Daphnia pulex: one gene and its partner. The protein of the gene in region 2 interacts with the protein of the main gene of each other region in a pairwise test. Links are inferred from orthologs where the notes say so. Each region holds a gene or a part of one and is shown on either strand. Other genes may lie near its edges.

Region 1 (3,493 bases), on a different chromosome or scaffold from region 2:
CGTTGCCACCTTGTTATTTCTTTTTTTCAAGTCCTTTGACACACAAGAAACTTACACAACACCAATCATACTCCCTCTTGGAAAAATACCCAGCAGCCTCGATTGTGTGATGGAAATATAAATCGGCCAAGTGGTGTGCTATTTCTCTGAAATTAAAAACACTTCACTTACCCTTGGAGATGATGACAGAAAGATGAGAGATATGGTGTAGAGTATCCACACCTTTTCCTGTCTGTTGTGTACATCGCAGCTCGGAAAACAAAGCAATAAAGGCATCTGGGGGCTCTTCTTTTTTTTAACTCTAGAAGAAAGAAAGTGAACGCAAAAGTGCCATACGCATCGTCGTTCCCCCCCCCTCTTTTTGAAATAACGTGAAGGTACCCTAAAAGTTTCTCATGATTCCCAAGTTGAAAATAGCTTATAACAAAAACGTGTACCAACGAACCTTGGCCTAGTTACAAGTTTTTCCTTCTCATTCTTTTTTCTTCAATTGCTTTTAGAAGCAGAGGAATATTCCGTCCTGTCCTGTAGATTCATTCGTTTCTTTTGTTTGTTTGCTTAAAAACTTCGTGTCTACCATCTGCAGCCGGAGGGGGGACGATGCGGGTTTTCCTCTCGACCAGGGGAAAAGTGAGCGGCGGCACGGTCATGACGTGACAAGCTTCGCAAACCCACCGTCGAACGGATGTAATGAGCACAATAACGGGAAGGGAGGACTTTATGAACGTGCACGATCCGGATGATGAAAAACCGGCCATGTGATGGACAGCCGAGAAAACTAAGTCACTGGGTCAGTCAAGTGACAATTTCCGATTGGTATTCTTCTGAACCTATTGGGTAGTATCAACGATAGTCCTCTCTGCAGGTCGTGTCCAAATGAGGTTAACACGGACGAATACATAAGCAATAACAATCGATTATTTTACGAGGTCGTGGAGCTCGAGACTGAGAGAGAAAGGCTGGAAAACCGTCCGGTGAATGGCCTCTACGAAACTAAAGAGGTACCGAGTGGTAGCCAGATGCAGAGGCGTCGTTGCGGAGGTGCAAGTCAAGCGTTACATTTTCTTCGCAGATATTTTTAGTGTTAGGGAAACTAGCTAAAAATACTTTCTTTAGCTTTGTTGTTTACTTTTCTCTTTGTGGCTTGAGAGACAATTTGTTTCTGTCAGTGCTATCAAAGACTGTTTTTTTCTTTTTTGTATTGTTCTTCATTATTATAGTGGAGAAAGCATTTTGGACGTTTTCTTTATTCCTCTTCGGCTTCTAGGTTGATAGAATTACCGAATTTGGCGTACAATTGCGTCTTCAGATCGCTCATCAAAGTCTTGATGTTTGTGCATTCAGCTTCGATGGCTTCAATATCTTTTTTCACTTTGTCTTTTGCTTCTTCAAGTTTCTCCTGTGATAAGTCAAACAATTAGCGATAAGCAGTACTTTAACAGCGATGCACAATTGACAGAAGAGGAAAAAAGAAAATCACCTTTGCCTCTTCCATGTTGAAATGAACAAACACTTCACCTACAACGAAAGGAATTGGAGCTGATTCATCATCAACCAAGAGTAAATCATCTGAAGCATCCTCCAAGTTTTGAAGATCTCCCTGAACAAAGCATAGAGAAAACGAGTAGCAATGCAGAATTGTAAGTTTCAACGTGAATCATGAGCAGAATGCGAAAATATTTCTGCCAGCACATTTATGACACATAATAATTTTGAAGACTTCACACACATTACGAAAAGAAGCATGCAATAGAAAGAATTTCACCTTTTTATTTTTCAGATCATCCCTGAGCTCCTCCCATTTTGCATTGTGTCGTGCAAACCGGTTGATTTTCTGTTGGTCTTCCAATGTAATGTGAATGTCAGAGTCCTAAAATAATTTCAGTTACTTTAACTACTAGAAATTGGCAACACGTTAAGCTATAAATTCTTAAGTCAAATCATTTTCTTACCGATTCAAGAGAATCTTTAGAAACTGCTACTGAGGCCATGATGTTTTTCTTGACAACCCCTACGTAGCAGACGACGCCTATTTATCGATTATTTCAATCGATAATGATATGCTGGTTGCCATTATTCAAATTACTATTCTTTTTAGGATTTTTATTTTACTGGATTTAACAAGCAATTTCTTTATGGCACATTTCGTTTTTATTACTTCAATACTACGGCATTATTACTTCAAGAAAAATCGTCTTTATCCCAGGTGCATTGACCACTGGGAAAGTGAAAGGGCTATTATATTCCCTATTAAGTAAGGCCTACACGGCTTTCATAATTGTTAGCTTGCTCCATAAAATGTGTTTGTGTAAATTCACGCGCTTAAAGAGAAATTTTCTTCGGGTTTCTATCTTATTATTACGATACTTACTAGAAAATTATAATGAATCCTGATGGGTTCTCGGATTTTCGAAAAAGATGTCAAGCAAAAACATGTTGCAATGCTCATGAAGAAAGTCGTGCACGTGAAAGTAATATTATGGAAATCTGAAAAAAAAAATGTAATAAATAACGAAGATGTCTTCTATTTGTTTTTGAGAGCTTTTCTTTTTACAATAAAAGCAATATGAACACGTCTAAGTAAGCGGTTTTCTTTGTGGCGAACTTGCCATATTATATGCAGTTGCCCTGCAGATCGATAGCAAAACAAACAGAACGCAATAGAGACGAAATAGTTTCACATGTTTTAACCAATCATATCAATCTCCCCTTTGTGCGTCAGAGCCCGCAATAACTGAGAAGACGAGTTTTATCAACTTATGGAACAACAACTGTTTGATTATTAAATATTTCCTGGCGAATTCCATCACGCTATACGATTCACGAAAGCCACTTGAAATGTACGTTTTAGACAGAAGGCATCCGTCCTCCTGTTTCGCTTCATTCACATATCTCAACGTGTTTCTCTGTCGTTTTTTTATAGACCTTTATGTTCACCGAACAATCGACAACAGCTGCAGAGGTGGGTTTTGCGCGTTGACAAGTAATTTCCTCATCAAAGTGTCGTTTACACTCGGTTGTGCGGTAGCCTGTTATACCAGCGCACTTTACTTAATGCGGTCAAGCAACCCGAGCGTCCCTCTCATCCGTAAAAACAGCCGTGAATACCGAGTTGCTTAACCTAGTTAGCGTCAGTGCGCAGTACGTACAAAGAAGAAGAAAGCGTGATAAATGGTCTTGTTAAAGAGTAGGACGTATTGTGGGTTCGTGTTGATACATTAATACCTCATTTCGCCGCCATTAGATCCGCACATCATTTCTAAAACGTTTCTACTTTCTGTGAATTCATTTAAATGATGAACTTTAACTTGGCAAATGCGTAATAAGTTGGGTAATTTAAAGCTCTTTGAAAATGATGCATAACTTTATTTTTATCAAAGTTTTTCAAATAGAATAAATATAAAGAAAAGGCTTTTTATGGCTGGTATATGCCAGCAGTGAAATGGGAGAAAGCCGCGCGAGATCCTTTTTTTTGTTTATGGCGTAAATCTAA
Region 2 (3,687 bases):
TTAATACTCGAAATTCGTTATAATTCAATATACGTACATTTGATGCAAAATGTTTATAAAAATCCAATTTTTTTAGCATGATCGATTTTTTGCAAAATCGATCCAGCAGTTAAAATTAGCCGTTAAGTTATCGGTTAAAGTGTCTTTAACTCTTTCGATTTCCCTTTGAAATCACTACTGACGTGTTGGTATTTCGTACCTACTTCGAAAGAATTTCATTGATTTTGTTTTAAATCATACCTTCTAAACAACCGTTTTACGATTTTCAATACAAACTGATCAAGAAATGGAAAGCAAACGTGACGAATTTCGTCGTTATTTAGAGAAGGCAGGAGTCATGGACGCTCTGACAAAAGTTTTGGTTGGACTCTATGAAGAGCCAGAGAAACCAAATGATGCATTGATGTAACAATGAATTTGATTACTTACACATATAACACTTATTACAATACAGATTTTTCCTCACATAATTAGGTACCTAAAAACCCACCTGAGTGTTGCCCATCCCGATCAGGCTGAACTGGAGTCCATGAGGAATGAATTGCATTTTGCTCGGAGACAAGCTGAGATGTTGAAGTGAGTCGCTATTTAATATTACACAATGATTACAGCCATAGAATACCGAACACATTTTCTATATTAGGGAGGAGAATCAAAGGCTGTCTGCAGAACTTCAAAAGTACTTGGCTGTAGAAAGTTTGAGTAAGGAGGAACCTTCTGAACAAAGTACACCTGATCATGATGAACAGATAAATTGAGGCCACTTCCATCTGTCAAATCACTACCTTCTGTGCCTTGACATTTAACTCATTTATTATGTATTTCATGTTCATTATTAAATAAAAAACTTGATTCTGAAGCAAAATTTTTTATTGTGAACAATTGCAGTAGTTTCCTTTCATGCTAGCTGTAAAGAATTATTATTTAGCATTCAGGGCTTGTCTTCTCTTGACATCCCAATTGTAAAGCCTAGCCATGTTCACTTCAGTTGTTGTCATCTGATCCCTGTATAGATTTTAAAAAACATTTAAAGTTACACTGTTAGGGAAAGCCAAGCCAAACAGAGTAAACTTACCTAAGGAAGTCCAGATCATGATGTACTTGTGCAAGATTCTTCATAGCTGTTTCATGATTTTTTTCCAACAAAGCCTTAGCATCTTCTAAAGTGTATTCCAACATCACATTAGCCTGAAAAATAAACAGAATATTAGTTTGCAATCTTGTATAGTTTAAATGGTATAATTTACCCCTAGCCACAAGCAGACTTTATCTGTGGGTTCAATAACTGCCCTAGAGTACAGAAGGTCTGAGAGTAAAAAGTGAGTTTCAATTTGTTCGTTAGTTTTCCTTTTTGCTTCCAGCACTTGAATCATGTCAAGTGATTTTTGGATGTCTGGAATTTGACTCTTCAACTTCTTTTTGCGTGCCAGAAGGTTAAGCTCCATGAATTTATATTTTCCTGTAACAAAGATTGATAAAATTAACAAGCATGGCAAAGATACATTATGGCTTAATTAAATAACATACCATGTTGTTCGTCTAGTTGCCGCAAAATTGACTCCACCCCTTCACGATCCTTCATGTAAGCGTCTACATCTTCCTGTCACCGGTATAAACTGATATTGCACTGAACGGAAAGAAATTTGACATGGTGTTTTCACAAACGATATTTACCACAAAGGTAGCTTCGGGAATGCCAGCAAAAGACTTTTTTCCGGATAATTTCAGACTATCTTCGATAGGTTCACATGCTGCGGTCGAGGCCATTTTTGGAGATTTTGCTTTTAGAAGACAGAAAAAGGTTTTTTTAGTCTGCAATGTAAAAAGCCGATTTTGTACGGATTGTGTATTATTCACCATAGATGGCGCTGGTGAACCTGTAGAACCAAAAAGAAAACAACTTTTTGAAAGTTTTTGACGTGAGACATGCAAAAACAAAATTAGCTTTTTAATTCGAAATTGTCGATGGATACATTTATTTGAGGTCAGTTCTTATCATCTACTATAGCTGAGCATTAGGAAACTAAACAAATTTGGTTATTAAAGACAAAATGGCTCAACCACCACCAGATCCAGTCCACATTCTGCACAATCCAAGTGGACCAGTCACTGCATTAGCTGCACTAAGACTAAAAGAGGATGGTGAATACAATCTAGTCAGTGGATCAGAGATTGGATTCATAACTATTTGGAATTTAAATGTAGGCTTAAATTGATTTGCTTAAAATTGATTGTCTAATGACGAAACACCTTTTAAATTCAGGTTTATCGACCAACCAAGACCTGGCAAGCTCACAGTGCCACAATTGTGTGGATTGGGGCTTTGGATGACAGACCTGGTTACATAATTTCACATGGAAGAAATGAATCTCTCATCATCTGGAATGCAGAAGGAATCTCAGTTCATCGGATGCTAGTCACTCATGAAGGATTCTGCAAGTGTGACCTTTGGGCCAACATCATAGCCATCCCTGCCAAGAAGAATTCAGTTGAAATCTTCAACATCAGTCAGGAAACGACGTCGCTGGACCGTACCGGCACGCTAACGATCGACGACGACGAAGGAGCATTAATGGCCATTAAATTGTTGGGGAAACAGACGACTGTAGTAACCGCCTATGAAAGTGGATGCATTTGCATCTGGAACGAGAACGTTGTACTCCATCGAACAAGGGTCAAGAGCATGCCGACTTGCTTGGGGCATCATGCTCAGCGTAATGAACTCCTATTAGGAACTTCATGCGAAACATTATACATCTTCAACGTCGACGACCTAACCGAGCTCAAGTCTGTCGTGCTGACCAATCCCGGACTGAACGTCATGGCGCTCCGCCTATCCGACCCGCGTCTCTACGCAACAGCCGGCTGGGACCATCGCATTCGCTTCTTCAGTGCCCGAACTCATAAAAAGCTCTGCGTCCTTCAACTTCACGACGGCCCTGTCAACAGCCTGGTCTTCATCATGGGTCAAAGCGGCGGCGGCGTCGGCGGCTTGTTGGCCGCCGGAGGTAGCGACTCTCTGATATCCCTCTGGGATCTGTACAGCCAGGCAGGCCAGCCAACAACAGTGACGTCGGTTTGAACCAAAACCCCCAAAACCCCTTGAAAGGCAAGTTCCTGGCTTCCTCGTACACTTCCTTTGTATTCTAATCAACTGTGTGACTCTGCATTGATGCCGCAAGCTTTTCAAAAAAGGGAATATATAAAAGCGAGGGGTTGTTCTCTGCTCTCTATCGTCGTTTCTCCTCAAATACATGAAGAAATCAGAAAAGAATTTTATACACACATATATTTATAAAGGTTGGAAATTATCAAGCGAGCCGAAAAAAGATGACGGTCGTTGGGACGGAGTGTTACCATGGCGACGGCACGCCCTCGCACGCTCCTTGAAAACTTCTTGAAACACAACAATTGAAAATGTGAAGAGTCTGCGCCAGAAGAGAGAAAGATGGAGCGCATATATGTTTTGACAAGACTTTTCTCTCCTCTTTTAGAATTGAATATCCCTTTTCCTGTATAGACAGTAAGATGTTGGGTGTAAGTTGCGGATGTGTAGAGACAATTGTATTATTATTATTCATTTGTTGTTGTTTTTTCCCTAGATTGTATTGCAGCGATACGTGGGTGGGGTGTTGTATTATAATTTATGTACAAGTGTAAAAAGGGTGGGGGATGTTGTTGGCAATA

The links. The genes of interacting proteins can lie anywhere in the genome.
Region 1: the proteins of prefoldin subunit 3-like (region 2) and prefoldin subunit 4-like interact in binary tests that used the Homo sapiens proteins (3 or more experiments, as listed by UniProt). The link is inferred for Daphnia pulex from reciprocal best matches to the Homo sapiens genes VBP1 and PFDN4.

What each region holds. Positions count from the first base shown.
Region 1 is NC_060022.1:3,651,816-3,655,308, reverse strand, and holds prefoldin subunit 4-like, read right to left. Parts: upstream 2,106-3,493; 5' UTR 1,992-2,105; coding exon 1,953-1,991; intron 1,871-1,952; coding exon 1,766-1,870; intron 1,601-1,765; coding exon 1,451-1,600; intron 1,400-1,450; coding exon 1,247-1,399; downstream 1-1,246. UniProt on the Homo sapiens protein: Binds specifically to cytosolic chaperonin (c-CPN) and transfers target proteins to it. Binds to nascent polypeptide chain and promotes folding in an environment in which there are many competing pathways for nonnative proteins.
Region 2 is NC_060028.1:10,584,309-10,587,995, reverse strand, and holds prefoldin subunit 3-like, read right to left. Parts: upstream 1,838-3,687; 5' UTR 1,768-1,837; coding exon 1,675-1,767; intron 1,601-1,674; coding exon 1,528-1,600; intron 1,460-1,527; coding exon 1,248-1,459; intron 1,189-1,247; coding exon 1,076-1,188; intron 1,006-1,075; coding exon 921-1,005; 3' UTR 853-920; downstream 1-852. Other genes in the region: c-Myc-binding protein-like, read left to right, coding at 287-405, 475-576, 644-758; guanine nucleotide-binding protein subunit beta-like protein 1, read left to right, coding at 2,052-2,201, 2,264-3,082. UniProt on the Homo sapiens protein: Binds specifically to cytosolic chaperonin (c-CPN) and transfers target proteins to it. Binds to nascent polypeptide chain and promotes folding in an environment in which there are many competing pathways for nonnative proteins.